5 linked regions of the Callithrix jacchus genome follow. The protein of the gene in region 4 purifies or fractionates together with the protein of the main gene of each other region. This does not show direct contact. Links are inferred from orthologs where the notes say so. Each region holds a gene or a part of one and is shown on either strand. Other genes may lie near its edges. The genes, in order: HOMER3, TMOD1, GSN, DBN1 and HOMER1.

Region 1 (4,034 bases), on a different chromosome or scaffold from region 4:
GTTTTGGTAAAGGTCATGTTTGGAGTGACAGTGCTGTTGATGATTGCCTGGGGTTGGGGGACAAAGTTCAAGGTTGATGGGACGGATAGTACGAGACATGAAACCCCCAGGTATCACCTTGTATTAGCCTCTGGAAAGTCTTTACTCTGAGCCATTTCAGGGGACAGACTAGGGCCCCGGAAGGCTCAGAGTTTCCCATCCCTTGGGCACACAGCAAGCCAGCCACCAGACCCACGCGTGTCACCAGGACCCCTGGTGCCTCTGCCCCACCTAGACCCCACCCGGACCTTGGCGCCCCCAATGCTGATGATGCGGTAGACATTTCGGGTGGCATCGTAGAAATAGGAGACCGTGAGTGCATGCTTGCCCGCCGGGATCCAGTTTCGCTTGGTGGCCGGGTCAATTTGGAACACGTGCGCCCGTGTACTGAAGATTGGCTGCTCCCTGTGTGGGGAGAGGGTGATCAGTAGGGGCCGGACATGCCCCCTTAGAAAGCTCAGGTCCAGGCTGGGGAGGTGGGAGCTCACCTGGCTGTGGACATTGGTCAGGCGGGGCTGGGCAGGCTCTAGGGGGCAGCCAGAGAGGTGGCAGGAGCCGCTGGTTTGGCCCCTAGGGAGAGAGGAGGGACTATGAGTGTCCCTCAGGCCAGGTTGAGGGAAGCCAAGCAGGTTCCAGCTCAGGACCCATTATCACAGAACTTTCCATCAAAAAGGCAAGAGAGGCCCAAAGCACTGGGTGTGCTTTGGGAGGCTGAGTCAGGAGGATCATTTGAGCCCAGGAGTTCGAGACCAGCCTGAGCATCATGGTGAGACCCCACCCCTACCCAAAATTTAAACAATTAGCCAGGTGTGGTGGCATGTGCCTGTGGTCCCAGCTACTGGGGAGGCTGAGGTGGGAGGATCGCTTGAGCCCAGGAGGTCAAGGCCGCAGTGCAGTGAGCCATGATAGCACCACTGCACTCCAGCCTGGGCAAGAGAGCAAGACCCTGTCTCCACAAAACAAAGAAATGATAGAAAGAAATGAAAAGGCCAGATTATCATTATAGATCACTCAGAGCAAGTGGACCCCATCTTTCTTTGTCTGGGGGAAGCCCTCACCACACCCTGTACAGGAGATGGCCCTCTGAGAGGAGCCAGGTGGCTGCTGTTGACATTCAGATGTAAATCTCTCATCGTCCTAGTTACGGCACCCCCCACCTCGCCCCGTGAAGCCCCCTCCATCCTGGGCTGAGCTGTGAAGGCCACATATCTGCTGAGTTCTTTCCATTCACCCATGACCGGCCAGAGAGAGGTTCTCCATCAAAAATGGGGCATTGAGAGGTGTGTAGTACTGGGAGACCAGTTCCCCACTGCGCCCTGCAGAGGGACCCCCCCAGCTCCCACCCTAGGCTAGAGGCACACCTGGCAGCCCAGACTCCAAATCCCCAGGCAGCCCCCAGCCAAGTTAAAAAGACAAGATGTAGCCAAACAGCCAATCCCAGTGCCCATCACAGGGAGCAGAGCAGAATGCCAATCCCAATGCCACCACTGGGAGAACAGGGCTCCCCAACCTCCCCATTGGTCCATCCAGCCACCCGGATGTGCAGGGGACCAAGGAAGGATTTGGGGGAGGGGGAAGATAGGCGGGGAGGCCCCAGCCCAGCAGCCTCTATGGTCAAAGGGGGTATGCCCCCCCATCCTGTCCTGGGCAGCTGCTGCGCCGGTCACAGGGTCTGAAACTGGAGCCCCTGAGTGGGGGTGGGGCGGGAGCTCTGGCCTGGACCGGAGGTAGGTCCTGCGCCAGGTGGGAGTTGGGGGACGCAGGGGTCCCCGGAACCCAGGCCCTTCCGGTCCGGCCGCTCCTGCTGCGACTTGCAGCGTTTGGGGAAAGTTACTCACCAACTAGTCATGCGCTCGGATGCCGCCGGCCACGGGGCTCCCGAAGGGGGGTCCGACACCGCCCGGTGCCCGGGATCCCCAATCTGGCCGGTGGGTGAGGCCCCGTCCCATGCACCCCACTCCGGAGGCGGGGAGGGGGCCAATATTCATTCAGGATCCAGTCCCCACCCGAGGCGGGAGGACACCCAGTGCGCGACCCAACTCCGGGACGCGCGCCCTGACCCTGGAACTTCCGAGATTCCCGCGACAGCCCCGTCGCTGGGTACAGAACTTCGGGGATACCTCTTCTGCCTCCTCCAACCCCAGGTCCGGAACTCCGGGGACTGCCCTCCGTGCCGCCCCCTCTAACCCGGTCCGGAACTTTGGGGACCCCCTCGTTGTCCCAGACTCCTAAACTTCGAGGTGGACCCCCTGCCACCCTTCCAGTCCCTGGTCCCGGACGTCGGGGCCCCTCCCGCGCCTGGCTCCCACCCCAGGTCCGAAACTTTGGGGACTCCTTCGCAGCCTCCTCCAACGCCGGGTCCAGAACTTTGGGAACCTCCCGCGCGGTCCCCTCACCGACCCCGACTCCAGAACTTCGGGACCCCTGCGCTCCCTCCGGCCCTGGAACTTGGGGGCCCCTCGCGCCGCTCCCAGTCCCCAGGTCCGGAACTTCTGGGGACCCCCCGCGCCCTTCCCTTGGCCCCGCGACTTCGAGGCCCCCGCGCTCGCGGCGCAGTCTCGGCCGGCCGGGCTCACCCTGCCGGGTCGGCGCCCAGCGAGTGTTCGGTCGCAAGTCGGGTGCGGCCCCCGCGGCGCTGACTCCGCGCAGCCGGGCGCCCCGCTCGCTCCCTGGCTCCCGGGCCCGCGCCCTCCGCGCCGCCCTCCGCGCCGCCCGCGTCTTTGTCTGCGCCGCCGCCGCCGCCCGCGCCGCCTCCGGTCCCATCGCGGCGGGTCCCGACGCGGCCGCCGCCCGCCCCGCCTCCCGGGGCCGCCGAGGCCGCCCCGCTGCGCCCCCTGCCGGCTTTTTGCACCGGGCCAGGTGGGGGGAGGGGCGGGGGATTGGGGGAGGGGGCTAAGGGCGGTGGAGGGGGACTGGGGCGTTGCGGGGGTTCGGGACTGGGAACAGAGGGTGGGGACAGAGAGACAGAGGAGAGGGACATCTGGGATGAGAAAGAGACCCAGAAAGAGACACGGCGGAGACAGGCAAAGAGACAGGAAGCAGATGTAGAGATACAGTTGCAGGGACGGCGATGTGACCTCACCCTCCTGTCACGTCTCAGGGGACAGCTGCCTCTGTCCCCACTACCTGAGGTCATGACTTTGGGCCCATGAGGAAGGTCAGGTCCCTCCCGGGCTGACGTGGGTGGTTCAGTGAGGTTGCAGAGGGGGCGGTGGGTCCCTTCTGGCCACGGGGCTCTCGTTTCCTGGCAACACCCATTGAGCACCTACTGTATGCACTGTATGTACTGTTTGCATACAGTAGGTGCTCAATGGGTGTTGCCAGGAAACGGAAGAGATCGGCTTCGGGAGGGAACAGGAAGCAAGACAAAGAGAGAGAAGCCTTCCTGTCTGTTCTGCCAGCTCCATCCCTGGGCAGGGACATCTGTCCACCTCTGTCCTTCCCAAGACAATGGTAAAATGCCCATGATGGTTGGATTAAGGTTATCATTGCTAGTTTGTGGGTCCCAAGATCCAAAGGCTTAGGGAATGTCTCCAACGCATGGGTGTGTCCCCTTTGTCACCTCTGGTCACAAGGAGCATCCCCTTCCCACACTTGCCAGGAAAGCATCCTTCCAGAGCTGAGGTGGGATCCATCTCCCCAGCCCCAAGCCCATGGGTGGAACTTGTCAATCCTGGTGCTGCCCTATCTCTGGCACCTTCTCCAAAACCGCACATTACCGTCGGTTTGTGGGCAAAGTCCCTGCAGCTCCCTGGAACCAAGGGCTGTGGCGCCCTACAGCTCTGAGCCTTGCATTTGAGTCTCTTTCTTTCTTTCTCTTTCTTCCTTCATTCCTTCCTTTCTCTCTCTCTCTTTTTTCCTTTCTTTCCCTCCCTCCCTCCCTCTCTCTCTTTTTCTTTTCTTTCTTTTTTAATTAATTATTTATTTATTTTTAAAGACGGGGTTTCACCATGTTGGTCAGGCTGGTCTTGAACTCCTGACTTCAGGTGATCCGC
Region 2 (3,517 bases), on a different chromosome or scaffold from region 4:
GTTTGTCACAACTTGGGGGACAGTACTTCTGGCATCTAGGAGCTAGAGAGCAGAAGGGCTGCTAAAGAATCTCCAGTAGGTAGAGCGGCCTCCACGACAAGGAATTATCTAGCCCAGAATGTCAGTTGTGCTGAGGTTGAGAAACTCTGCTTTTACTAAATTCGTGGCTGCTACCAGATAGACTGGAAAAGAGATGAGAGTTAGCAAACCCTTCTCCCCTCAGTTACGACCCCTGGATTTCTTCTATTGCAATACTTAGCCTTTCTGGGGCCAGAACGTGCCTCAGCATCTTACTGACATCAAAACCCTTTATGGTAATGAAAATCTGTAGGCCTTCCCTGTGGGGATCCCTAAGAAGCAGGAGCACTTGCTTTCAGTGCTTAATTCATTTTATATTTGTGTGTTTTAGTTTTTTGAATTTATACTTGGATAATGCATTCCCTGTTAAACATATATATTTGGGTAACCAATCTCCTATTAACATATATTTTACCTGATTATATAACAATGGAAGTGACCATAAGTACCCATTTTTGGCTGTTCACTATGTTAGGCACTGTGCTAAGCACACTTTCTGCATTATCTCATTTAATTTTCTCAACCACTCTATGAGAGAGCAACTCTCATTACTTACATTTTACAGCCATGGAAACTGAGGCACAATGAGATTTAGGGGACTTGCCCAAGATTGTGCAGTTGAATCATTATTACTCCAAGTCAGGTCTGAAGCCTGATGGGTCAACTATGAGGTGCAGGCATGCCACAATGAGTTCGGATTATCCATTATGGGTAGTCACACATTGACGTTTGCAGAGCAATGAGGTATTCTCTCACTCTCTTGCATCGCAGTAAGCTCCCTGCCATGGAAGAGAAGGAGTAGGCAGATACAGCTAGCTATAGGAAGTCCCATCTAACCTGGGATATGCCCACAGAAGCATGGCTCACCTGGGAGCATCACCTATCCTGACTATCATGGTGGACAATATCTGAGTGCTTAAGGAAAACTGGGATGTGTGTAGATCACTTATGTTCCGGAAACTTCCAACCCCAAGTCAGTCAGGCCTTGGTTTTCTACCGGCTGTCCTCTCATAAAAAGCTTCAACTCCTAGTGTCTGTTTTGATCTGTGGCCTAAAGCTATCTGTAAGCACACCAGCACCACTTGCCAGGCCTGTTATCTGTCCATCCAGGCTCTGTGCTAGGTGGGTCCTGCTCACTTACAGCCCTCTCAGAGGCAGGGTCACAGCCCAGTCTCCTGACCTTACAGCCACGACTCTTACTGAAACAGCATTGTGGTGTTAAAAGCATAAGCATCATGTGGTGGCTCATGCCTATAATACTAACACTTTGGGATGCTGAGTTGGGTGGATCACTTGAGGTTGGGAGTTCGAGACCAGCGTGACCAACATGGAGAAACCTGTCTCTACTAAAAATACAAAATTAGCCAGGTGTGGTGGCGCATGCCTGTAATACCAGCTAGTCGGGAGGCTGAGGCAGGAGAATCACTTGAACCTGGGAGGCAGAAGTTGTGGTGAACTGAGATCACACCACTGCACTCCAGCCTGGGCAACAAGAGTGAAACTCTGCCTCAAAAAAGAAAAAAAAAAAAAAAGATAGTACATCTTTTAAAACATGATGCATTAAACAGTAGTATTCCCTCCCAGGCTGTATCCCTCTATGTGCCAGGCATATGTTGATCTTCATATGCCTGATAACAGTCCCCTTACAGAGGGGGCTTTCAGAAAAGGATTTGGAGTTTGTAAGAGTGACTGAAGATATGCATTTTGATGGTACAAAGATTGGAGGTGGGGTCGGGCACAGTAATCCCAGCAGTTTGGGAGGCTGAGGTGGGCAGATCACCTGAGGTCAGAAGTTCAAGATCAGCCTGGGCAATATGGTAAAACCCTGACTCTACTAAAAATACAAAAAAATTATCTGGGTGTGGTGGCGGGCACCTGTAATCCCAGCTACTTGGGAGGTTGAGGCAGGAGAATCGCTTGAACCCAAGAGGCAGAAGCTGCAGTGAGCAGAGATCACACCACTGCACTCCAGCCTGGGTGCAACAGAGGGAGACGATCTTCAACTTAGCCAGTTTGAGGGTGCATATCTTTGGGGTGATGTCCTTTCCATACCAGCCTCCCATGTATCATCTGCTAGCTCTGCGAATGCAGAAAGAGACAGGGAGCATGCAGCAATTAGAAATGAAGATCTTCCTCCTCCCCTAAATCTGAAGAAGAACGCTGGTTTTTGTTCTAGACCTGTCCTGAAACTCCTCGGGCAAATCTTTCCTTGCTCCAGGCCTCAGTTTCCCCTGATGGAGAGTGTATGCACTAGATGATCTCTGAGCATCCTTGCAGCTATAGGGTGATAGCTTGTACCTTTGACTCCCTAAGGTACGGGGGGCTGAGTTAAAGTGAAGCCGGTGAGGGTAACTCCAATCCCCCCTAATTAGGAATCTGCTTTAGTAGTAAGCCCTCACCTAGAAGCCTGCTTATGTTTGAAGAAGAAAAGAGAACAGTTGGTTGATGTTATGTTTCTTGAGATACCCATCTCCAGGGGCGACATTCAAAATATTTAACCACCAGTGTGTCATGAGCACGAACCCATCAGGAGGTGAGAAGGCAGTGAGAGGTAGAGCCAGCAGGGGCTGTGCCCACAGAGCATGCCCCGCCCACCTCTTAGCTCTGCAGGGCTCTGCTCACCTCACTGCTTTCCTGGGCCTTTCTCCAGCTTTTTTTTTTTTTTTTTTTTTTTTTGTCTGCCTTTTCCTGCCTGATTCTCCATCCAGGGCCCCAAGTCAACCCCCTTTGGCTGCTTCTCTTTCCAACCACTTGATACTCAACTCCTGTAAATATCTTTATGCATCCAAACAACAACTCAGTCATATTCATCCCCCAACAGATGCTCTTTCAGTGTCCTCTGTGCTCAGGCTGGAGTTGGCTGCCTTGACCCCTCACCTCCTCGTCTTCAAAAATGTTAGAGGCAGGGACATGCTGGAGGATTGAGAAACCTGAGTCTTAGCCTCTCTCTGCTCCTCATCTGCCTTTGACCTTGGGCAAGCCCCTGCCCCTCCTGGGGTTTCAGATTCCTTACATGTAAAACGAGGGACACCATGGATTCCATGAGCTCTGAGGTCCCTGCTGTTTGATGATGAGTTTCTGGAGAAGTGCAAGTCTTCAGCAGCTGATCACTCTCTCTTTCTCTCTCTCTCTTTCTCTCTCTCCTGCCCCCCACAACCTCCACTGTAGAATGCATTGCTGCCTGCAGGCCTGAGGCAAAAGGATCAGACCACCAAGGCGCCCACGGGCCCCTTTAAAAGAGAGGAGCTCTTGGATCACTTGGAAAAGCAAGCAAAGGAGTTTAAGGACCGAGAAGATCTGGTCCCCTACACAGGGGAAAAACGAGGTACTGAACAATGTTGCTGTTATGAATATACCACTCGCCATGCATCATTGAGTGCCAACTGTATACCAGGCCCTGCCAGGCTCAGTACTGGGCCAAATGTGACTGGGCCTCCTT
Region 3 (3,517 bases), on a different chromosome or scaffold from region 4:
GAGAAATGTGACAGCTGCATCCCGGCTCCTACCTGGCTCACTGCCTTCTGTCACCTGCACAGGTTGAGCCCGCAGCACCCTGAGCAGCTCCTGGGCCCCTGTCTTCTCCGCCTCACTGGCTCCTGTACCCACCCACAGGTATGCAGCTGAGGGGGTTTTCAGGACAAAGGCATCGTTGGAGTTCAGTGCCCCAGCCTTAGGCAATACCTGGGAGGGTAGAGCTTGGTTAATCAGGAGCCAGACAAAAAGCCCTCAGCCCCCTCCAGCCCGGCTGACCCTGCAACAGGATGAGCTCTCAGGAGGGGACTTGGAGGAACACAGCCCATCAGAGCTAAGGGCACAGGCTTTGGATTCTGACGGCCTTGGTTGACTCCCATGAGTCACTAATGCACTGTGACTAGCCAAGATGATTCTAGAATTCAGGGCTGCATTAACAGAAGTTGAGCACCCAGAACAAAGAAGGTGAGAGTCCCATTCCCCTCTAGGCTCCCCAGACCATCCTGGGAATCACGTCCAGATCTGTGCCTTCCTCCCGAAAGGGATAGTAGCCAACGGGAATATAATCAGGAATGGTGTCCTGATTGTACAGAACGATAGGTAGTGAGCTGTCCACTATGCAGTGTGCCAGGGACACAGGACATCCTTGAAACAGGAGGAAGTCTGAGACAGATCACCCCGCGGCCAGGGCAGGAAGGTACAAAAAGCTGCTTCTTACTCCCTCTCCCACCCCACCCCATCCTGTGCCTGGACATCTGCCCATTGAGCCTGGGAGGTTTCAGGGAGGCCAATCCTTTCTGTGGTCCAGGACCTGGGAATTACCTCGACAGCCCGGGTGGCTCCAGCGCTGTTGGCACGGACTTGGAAGAGGCGGGTGCTGGCAGGGGCTGTCTGCCCGCCCTCCCGGGAGGTGCCACCCTTGTAGATGATCATGGGCTTCCCACCAAACAGGCTCATGAGGTGGGCGGGCTCCTTGCCTTGGACCACACGGCTCTGGCAGAGAGACAGGAGAGTGAGGGGACCTTGGGGGCAGGACTCAGTCCTTCTATGTCACACTGGGCCCACCCCTTCAGACAAAGCCATCATGCTTATGTCTGTGTGTGGCAGTGAGTGTGACCCTACAACACACAGGCCAAGACACAAAATTCCAAAAAGGGTGGAGACAACACTATCGCCTGCGGTCCCCAGGGCACTGCTGCTGTGGCTGCTCTCCATCTCCATGAGGATGTGCCTTGCTGACCCTCAGTCTGGTCCAAGAACCAGGAGAGCCCATGTCTGCAAATATTCCCTTAAATAGAAGCACAGGGATTGCTGGTGGACATTCTTCCAGAATGGTGACGTCAGGCCTGGCCAATGACTGCCAGTGGAGTGGTAAGAACAGAGCATTCCAGATCTGGAAAACGCCCTCCTGACAGCCAGTGCAACCCAGATGCAGGCAGCAGTCAGGGGCTGGGAGGTGGGAGTGAGGCGGGGAAGATGTACATCCTCACAAGTGCTACCCATCCCCAGCCATGTGTGCCACCTTACCGCAGCCCTGACTAACTACGTCCAGAAGAAAACCACACGTGCGTGTCTGGTGCATGGCAGTTGCTTCCCACCATGACCCAACTCCACCCTGATGGTGAGAACTTGGGCACATATCTCAACCTCTTGGGTTCCTCCTCTGTAAAATGCAGCCAAGGATGCTACTCCCAAGGCCATCGTGAGGATGCACTGAGCTACGATGGTCATCGTCTCATTTAGTGCTCAGCACCCAGACTATCATAGACAAAGGTCAGGGCATGAAGCCCTGATCCAAGTCTAGAGCCCTGCGCACCCCCCGCATAGGATGGAGGAAGACAATTGTTGTCTGCTTCCCCCACATCTCCACAAACCAGCTCTGCTGCCCTCCAGCGCCCCCGCTAGCCAGAGCGACTTTTAAAACCAGAAATCCCCACACCGCAGACTTATCATTCAGCAACTTCCTGTTATTCTGAGCATCAAGGTCAACATCGTCACCGTGGCCTCTGGTGGTCTGGGCCCTCTGAGCACCTGTCCAGCCTCAAATCATGGCACCTTCCCTTCACTTTAACACCCAATGCTCCCGCCCACTCCAGGGCCTTTGTGTATGCACCACCTTTTAGCTGGAACGTACTTTCCTTCACTCTGCCTGGCCAACTCCTACACATGCATTAGGCCCCCATTGAACAGTTCCCTCTTGGGACAGGAGTGGGCTTTTCTAATCCAATAGGATCCTACCTGGGATTTATGCCCTTATACTTAACACATGTGTATAAGGGAGGAACTTATTATATGACAGGCATGGCTCTAAATGTTTTACAAATGTTAACTTAATCCTCACAGCAATCCTGTGGGATGGTACTGTTATTACCCCTATTTTGAGGATGCAGAGGCACAGAGGGGCTAAGTGACTTGCCCAAAGTTGCCCAGAGGTAAGAACAGGATTCAAACCCAAGCGTGCTGGCTCCACATCCGTGCTTAGCCATGTTGCCTCTCCCACATCTGTCTCCCCAAGGTCTTATCATTTTCACTCGCTTCATCTGTCATAGCCATTAGTGTACATGTGTGTTGAATGTCTACTACCACCCAAGACAGCAAAGCCCATTAGGGCAGGGCAGTGTCTGCGTGTCCATGGCTACAGATGCAGTGTGGAACACATCCAAGCCCTAAATAAATATCTGTACCATGGATGTATGGATGGATGGATGGATGGATGGATGGACAAACGAACAGATGGTTGAGAGTCAGACAGATGAGTAACAGATAGACAAGGCTCAGGCTGCAGCCCAGAAAGCTGGTGGGCTGGGCTCACCTGGACAGGGGTACCTCCCAGCTCCTCATCCAGCTGAGCAGTCAGAATGGCAGATGCAGCGACTTCATCCTGTGTAGACTGGGCACCCTGCCTAAAGGGGAAGTGAGATTCAGCACCAAGGTGCACACAGAGCCCTGAGCCTCTCCCTTGCCCTGAGTCTGAGAAACATACAAATCACCCCGTTACCAGTAAAGAAACAGAGAGAGAAGGGGACCCTCTCAGAGCAACAAGAGCCAGGAACCACACCAACAACACTTCCACTCTCAGCCAAGCACCTTGCCTGCTTACAGAGATCTGAGTGCAACGCATGAATTTCCTTATCCTAAATGTGCCCCACAGGAGACTGGCTGGGTCATTCCATACTGAACAGCTACAGAGAAGGTGCTCTGAGACTCAAATTTGAGATGCAGGGAAGTGGCCAGGACATTTCTCTGGGTGGAAAACCAGGTCACAGAACAGCAAGTGTCACGTGAGCCCATTTATGGGAAAAGATGTCAACGATTAAGCCTCCCGTGAACACGTGCAGAGAGGTCTGCACAGATGTTCAGCAAAAGGTCCATGGCGATTGCCCTTAGAGGGAAGTTTTAGGGGGATTTTGCCTTTCTATCCCACCTCTTTGCATATTTCTACGTTTCCATAACCAACATATGTCATCACATAAGCAAACAAAATCTGACATATCAATGTGTGATGCAGCTAATTTTTTTA
Region 4 (2,806 bases):
TCTGACTCCAGCACCGCCTCCACCCCTGTTGCTGAGCAGATTGAGAGGGCCCTGGATGAGGTCACATCCTCACAGCCTCCACCACTGCCACCACCACCCACACCAGCCCAAGGTGAGAGAGGGACCCTACCTGCACCAGGGCTCCCATCATCATTCCCTGGCTGAGAGCCCCAGGTTGCCATGGTAACCATTCTCCAGGGATCTGGGACACCCATCACTAAGACTGCACTGCCCTGGAGGCGGCTGTGTGGGGAGGAGCCCTGGTGTGCAGTCAGACCTCTCTAAAGCTCAGCACCCGACTTCTTAAGTGGGAATCAGGCCTTCCTCCTGGAGCTGCCAAGGGGCTTAAAGTCACTGGGGTCACTGGGTAAGGGGGCAGTGGGACACCTGCATGGAAGTCCCTGGCTCCCTCCTCACATTGTTGGACAACCACCACCACTGTCCATGGGGCAGGGTCTCCATCCTCCCTCAAGGGAGCCCATTGCATAACTCCTCTGCCTGTGCTGTGACAGAGACCCAGGAGCCCAGCCCCAGCCTGGACAGTGAGGAGACCAGAGCAGCAGACCCTCAGGCCTGGGCCGGCCCCATGGAGGAGCCCCCCAAGGCACAGGTGCCTCCCCAGGGGCCAGGCAGCCCTGCAGAGGACTTGATGTTCATGGAGTCTGCAGAGCAGGCTGTCCTAGCTGCCCCTGTGGAGCCTGCCACAGCTGACACCGCTGAGGCCCATGATGCAGCTGACGCCATCAAAACCGACACTGCCACTGCTGACACCACTGTTGCCAACAATGTACCCCTTGCCACCACCAGCCTCATTGACCTATGGCCTGGCAATGGGGAAGGGGGCTCACTCCAGGGTGAGCCCAGGGCCCCCACACCACCCTCAGGTACTGAGGTCACCCTGGCAGAGGTGCCCCTGCTGGATGAGGTGGCTCCGGAGTCACTGCTGCCAGCAGGCGAAAGCTGTTCCACCCTTCTCAACTTTGATGAGCTGCCTGAGCCGCCAGCCACCTTCTGTGACCCAGAGGAAGTAGAAGGGGAGCCCCTGGCCGTCCCCCAGGCCCCGACTCTGCCCTCGGCCCTTGAGGAGCTGGAACAAGAGCAAGAGCAGGAGCCAGAGCCCCACCTGCTGACCAATGGCGAGACCACTCAGAAGGAGGGGACCCAGGTGCAGCAGGGGCTGCCTGGTGGGAGGGATGAGAGTGAGTCCAGGCTGAGCAGGGCACTGATCCTGCATTGCTCAGGCTTGCACCGGTATCCCCTTTCTGTGTGACCCACATTATTGGAGGGGAAGTCCATTCCACCTGCCCTTCCTGGGCTAGCTCTGCTTTTGTTCCCAAGGCAGGCATCTGTGTTTCCCCGGCAACCACTGATGGAATCATTGGTTGCTGGGGAAACGGGCTTAGGCCTGATAGGTCAGCCCCAGTCCTGCTGGCTGGGGCCAAGTGACCTGATGCTTTCCCCTGCAGGCCAGTGAGGGGTACTTCAGTCAATCACAGGAGGAGGAGTTTGCCCAATCGGAAGAGCTCTGTGCCAAGGCTCTGCCTCCTGTGTTCTACAACAAGCCTCCAGGTAGTAATGGGGCGGATGATGGGAAGAATTTCGGTGGGGAGGCTGGGTTTGAATGTGGGCAGCCATCCCACCACTACCCACCACCCATAGAGGCTGGGGACACAAGCATGGGTCGGCTAGGTCCCTAACTCATCTTATCTTCTAATGCCATAGAAATCGACATCACCTGCTGGGATGCAGACCCAGTTCCAGAAGAGGAGGAGGGCTTCGAGGGTGGTGATTAGCAGTGGCGCCAGCCCTAGGCTGCCCTTGCCAAGGCCGTCCACCTGCATCGGCCTCTGGCCAGACGGCCCGCCGTGCCTGCATTCGCAGCAGCTCCGCCTGGCACCCACTCTGGATTCCGGCCCTGGCTGGGGACTTGGCCGCTTCCCTACCCACAGGGCCTGACTTTTACAGCTTTTCTCTTTTTTTTAAAGTTGATAGGAGACTTGTACAGTTGACTGGTTTTCCTCCCGTTGGTAGTTGAGACGCTGTTGCAAATTCTACTTCTCCTTCCCTGGTCCAGATTGTAGCTGTTTTAGTCCTCCCTGCTCAGCTGGCCGGGGTGGAGGCCTCACCCTGCTTGGGGCCTGGCGTGGGGGGAGCTCTGGTGGGAAAATGTTCTCCACCTCTTTTCCTAGTTTTATGTTTCTTGGAAAAATATCACTTTGTATTCTCTGTCCAGGGCTTCAGATATTTTGCACGAATTTTAAAACATGGCAATAAATGGCTCGTGGGCTCTGGCTCCCTGGGACCCCCTCCCCACCCTTCTTTTGACCTCTCCCTGTCTGGTCCAAAGGAAGTAGCAGGCCCAGCTGGGTCCCCTTGGCTACCCACCCCCCTCTCCTGCCGGGCAGGTCCCAGGCTGGAGGCCCTAGGCGCGGTTCAGGTCAGGGCTATGGATGGGGCCCAGGGGCTTGGGTGGCCCCTCCCAAACTCCTTCCTCTTTGCTTGGGTTCCTTTTTCACGTTCAGTAACTGTTTTTTTTTTTTTTTTCTTTTTTCTTTTTTTTTTTTTTGGAAAGCACAAACTTCTGTAACGGGTCGTGCTCATGTCTGTTAATAAAGAAATCCAGATCCCTTTGGGCTGCCGCCTGCCCTAACCCAGGTTCCCAACTCCTCCCACCTCCGAGGCCACAGCACCTCCCTGCTACCAGGGGGCGCCTTCACCCTAATTCCAAGGCCCGTCAGACACTGGGTGGGGGGCTGAGGCTTCCAGGTGAAGCCGCCTAGAACCTAGAACCGCCCGAGGAAGGTTG
Region 5 (3,517 bases), about 63 Mb from region 4:
CAAAGTGCTGAAATTACAAGCATGAGCCACCATGCCCAACCCCAGGGTATATTTTTTTTAATTAAAAGTAGAAATTTCCAAAAGAATTTACTAAATAATTTATAATTTATAAATGACCATCTATGGTGATTATAAGCTATCTAGATAAAGTTACCAAGTAACTTTTCAAAAACCAAAGATGACAGGCATGAATCAGAAGTCCTGGAAAAGAAAAATGACCAAAACCTGCAAAATGAAATATCAGAAAAAAAGTCACTGCTATGTAAAAAAAAAAGATGCCTTTCTATGCAGAAATGAATAAAAATTTTTACGACAGCTCACCTGTAGTTTCTGAGTCAAAGAGTCCCTCTGTTCTTGTAGTTCTCTGGCATTATCAATTTCTTGTTTTAATCTTTCTATCTCCTAGAAAAGGCAGAGCAACATCTTAGCATTTAAGCTGTATCAAGGAAAGGGAAGGTCTTATTTTTCCCTGAAATTATTGTTCCAGTTCTTAGAAAAAGATGATTTAAAAAACATTCCTTTATATTGACTTTTAAAGGGATGAATTCATCTTTATAAGTACGTTGTCTAGAACAGAATAATCTTAAGTAACAGCAACAAGTCTAACTGGTACAGCACTGCTTAGAAATAACAACCTGAAAATTTTAATGTTGCTTTAAAGCTTTGTGGATATGATTCTTTCCTAAGATATTAAAGTTTTGACTGGAACCCAGAAAAAGCAACAGCTTTTAAAATCCATTTAACCTCTAATAGTTTTCTGTTGACTGTATAAATGCAACTCTCATCTAGAAGGCAATAGGTGGTATCTCCGTCTGATTGCCTCACCACAGTTCACAACAGAAATAAGGAAAGGGAAAATATAAAAACAAGCTTAATATCATTCAAGAAAAAACTTAATCCTAAAACAAGGTTACAACTTTACTTTATTCCATAAAATACCCTTAAATTTGACATAGAATCTAATACTTTGTACACACATTAGCTAGATTACAGATGAGTAAAAAGTAGCAAATACCTCTTCCTTCTCTTTCAGTGTCTCTTCCAGTTCTTGTATTGTCTGATTTAATTCTGACTTATGAGTATGTACTGCATTTGCTTGGCTACTAACACATTCCAGTTCAGTCACCTAAAATTAAATAAGAACACAGATTAATTTCAACTTTAAAGAGTTTCTTGCTAAAGATATAAGTCCCAATGAATAGTATATTCTGAATAAATACATAAAAATTGATTTTGAGAAGTACTAAGAAAACACTCAAGGTAGAGTGAATAGATTCTTCAAAGATGTAAAACTAGGAAAGGGTAAAAGACCAAAGAAAATAATTATTTACATGGCTTGGTCATGGAAAGGTTAGAAAAACTTAAGTGATTAATGACAGTAGAGAATTCCTATAATAAAAGTCTTCTTTAAAAATTTCTTCCAAAAATATATTCAAGATCAGATATGGCCATCTGTCCTCCATCTGTAGCCTCCAAATTCAATACAGGTTCTGAAAACTGGCCTTGTAGAAGTGAGAATTTTTTCAAATACATTTCCAACATGTAAGAGAATCTGGAAGAAAAAATAGGCTTAAAATACAACTTAAATCATTAGATACTAGAATGACTTTACATCTATAGTGTCTCTTATGGGTAAGATAATATTTTGTTAGTCAGTAAGAATTTACTGAATGCTTAAAGAGTAATGTAACTTTTAATGAGCACTTGGTATTTTTTGAGAGAACAGAGAGGGGCACAGTCTTTAAAGTTATACCATCCAAAATGAGAATCAATAATAGAAGTCAACATAAATACACAACACACACACACACACACACATGCACACACACCCTATCACAGCTCTTTACACATATCATGTGCTCACAAAATTTTGGTTTACTAGAAGACAGTAAATTCTACACTATTAATGAAACAGAGTAAATCCCTTTCCCTGGCATTTTCCAAATCACCCTCTACATTCTGTTACTCTGTCTCTTTCTCTACATTCTGTTACTCTCTTTTTTTTTTTTGAGACAGCCTTGCTCTGTCACCAGGCTGGATTGCAGTGGCACCATCTTGGCTCACTGCAACCTCCGCCTCCTAGGTTCAAGCAATTCTCCTGCCCCTGCCTCAGCCTCCCGAGTAGCTGGGACTACAGGTGCATGCCGCCACATCCAACAAATTTTTGTGTATTTTTAGTAGAGATGGTGTTTCACCATGTTGGCCAGCATGGTCTCAATCTCTTGACCTTGTGATCCACCCACCTCAGCCTCTCAAAGTGCTGGGATAACAGGTGTGATATAATTTTCTTCCTTTCTTCTCAAGGGTTTTTAACTAATAGTCTTGTTACAAACCCTTAACGCCCAGGCCTGAACAAAACCAACAGCCTCCCAGTGGACTTAATTATAACCTTTTCTTATTTTTGTCCATTCTTCAAACTGCTAACAGATTCATCTTTGATCCTGTGAGTCCCCCATTCAAAGACTTTCAGCAGCTCATCTTTTTTAGTGTCAGATCTAAACATTCAGATCCTTTGTATATTGGCCCCAACCTTCTCAACCACCCATACTGCCTAAGACATTCAGCGAGTACTTCCAACTGAAAGCAGGCAAATCTCCTTGTCCTAAGAACAAGCGATATTCATTCCCATCTTGTTGATTTAACTAGAATGTCCTCTTTTGCCTCTGAAAACCATTCGGACCTAACCAAACCCTTAACTCTTAGCTCAGCAGGTACTTTCTCCAGAAAGCCATTCTTATCTGCTCAAGCCTTCAAGGCTCTCCTCTGGTTCACACCACCAAGCAGCTGCTAAAAAAATCTTGGAATTATTTCTCTTATTGCTTAATATGTATTTGTTTTCTTTGTCTCATTATATAATAAATTCCTTAAGGGGAGTTCCAATTCTGATAAATGATGACATAGTTTTTATTGGAGTAACTTTCCTATAGATAACTATTGCAAACTGTGGGCAAAATATAAAAATCAACTGTTTGAAGGCCCTGGTGAATAACCAAATTGGGCAAAAGACTGCAAGAAAGCAGTCACTTCGGGTGAAATACACATTTCAACATCTTTTTGCCTGATGGCACTCTGCAGTCTGGCTGCACTGCTTGACTGAACTCAAGCAGAAATCCATACTCTTATTTCTCTGAGGAGCCTGAGAATTTTAGGACTCCGCAGAAGACCTGGAACAACTAGGAGTAGGAAAAGAGCTAGAAGGCTGAAAGACCTAAACTGTGATGGTGCTCAACAGAGAGGACAGTTTGAAGTTCTGCTAGTCCCCTCTAAACTATAGGGTCTTGGTAAATAGCTCAAGCTTTTCATTGAAACCTCAGAAGGGTTATGTCTTAGAGAGAAAGATTTCCTAGGACAAAGCGATTTACCCTAGGGTTACAGCAAAATGGAAATAAATGAATTCTAACAAAGCATAAATACACAACTCCATAAATTCAAGATAATCCCCAAATAATTTAACTGCCTCCTGAAACAAAAACTCAATACTTTTCAAAAATAACAAAATCTGTGGTCTCTACAACAC

What was found.
Region 1: the proteins of DBN1 (region 4) and HOMER3 purify together in Homo sapiens (co-immunoprecipitation; 3 studies listed by BioGRID and IntAct, counting the BioPlex papers as one, with this or other methods). This does not show direct contact. The link is inferred for Callithrix jacchus from reciprocal best matches to the Homo sapiens genes DBN1 and HOMER3.
Region 2: the proteins of DBN1 (region 4) and TMOD1 purify together in Homo sapiens (co-immunoprecipitation; 3 studies listed by BioGRID and IntAct, with this or other methods). This does not show direct contact. The link is inferred for Callithrix jacchus from reciprocal best matches to the Homo sapiens genes DBN1 and TMOD1.
Region 3: the proteins of DBN1 (region 4) and GSN purify together in Homo sapiens (co-immunoprecipitation; 3 studies listed by BioGRID and IntAct, counting the BioPlex papers as one, with this or other methods). This does not show direct contact. The link is inferred for Callithrix jacchus from reciprocal best matches to the Homo sapiens genes DBN1 and GSN.
Region 5: the proteins of DBN1 (region 4) and HOMER1 purify together in Homo sapiens (co-immunoprecipitation; 3 studies listed by BioGRID and IntAct, counting the BioPlex papers as one, with this or other methods). This does not show direct contact. The link is inferred for Callithrix jacchus from reciprocal best matches to the Homo sapiens genes DBN1 and HOMER1.

The regions. Positions count from the first base shown.
Region 1 is NC_133523.1:17,630,833-17,634,866, forward strand, and holds the start of HOMER3 (homer protein homolog 3), read right to left. Parts: upstream 2,816-4,034; 5' UTR 1,878-2,815; intron 610-1,877; 5' UTR 542-609; coding exon 528-541; intron 445-527; coding exon 288-444; intron 48-287; coding exon 1-47. UniProt on the Homo sapiens protein: Postsynaptic density scaffolding protein. Binds and cross-links cytoplasmic regions of GRM1, GRM5, ITPR1, DNM3, RYR1, RYR2, SHANK1 and SHANK3.
Region 2 is NC_133502.1:145,688,471-145,691,987, forward strand, and holds part of TMOD1 (tropomodulin-1), read left to right. Parts: intron 1-3,246; coding exon 3,247-3,403; intron 3,404-3,517. UniProt on the Homo sapiens protein: Blocks the elongation and depolymerization of the actin filaments at the pointed end. The Tmod/TM complex contributes to the formation of the short actin protofilament, which in turn defines the geometry of the membrane skeleton.
Region 3 is NC_133502.1:169,724,936-169,728,452, reverse strand, and holds part of GSN (gelsolin), read right to left. Parts: intron 2,901-3,517; coding exon 2,810-2,900; intron 991-2,809; coding exon 820-990; intron 208-819; coding exon 33-207; intron 1-32. UniProt on the Homo sapiens protein: Calcium-regulated, actin-modulating protein that binds to the plus (or barbed) ends of actin monomers or filaments, preventing monomer exchange (end-blocking or capping).
Region 4 is NC_133503.1:68,679,933-68,682,738, forward strand, and holds the end of DBN1 (drebrin), read left to right. Parts: coding exon 1-112; intron 113-512; coding exon 513-1,165; intron 1,166-1,466; coding exon 1,467-1,569; intron 1,570-1,722; coding exon 1,723-1,793; 3' UTR 1,794-2,302; downstream 2,303-2,806. UniProt on the Homo sapiens protein: Actin cytoskeleton-organizing protein that plays a role in the formation of cell projections. Required for actin polymerization at immunological synapses (IS) and for the recruitment of the chemokine receptor CXCR4 to IS.
Region 5 is NC_133503.1:131,558,489-131,562,005, reverse strand, and holds part of HOMER1 (homer protein homolog 1), read right to left. Parts: intron 1,127-3,517; coding exon 1,016-1,126; intron 403-1,015; coding exon 322-402; intron 1-321. UniProt on the Homo sapiens protein: Postsynaptic density scaffolding protein. Binds and cross-links cytoplasmic regions of GRM1, GRM5, ITPR1, DNM3, RYR1, RYR2, SHANK1 and SHANK3.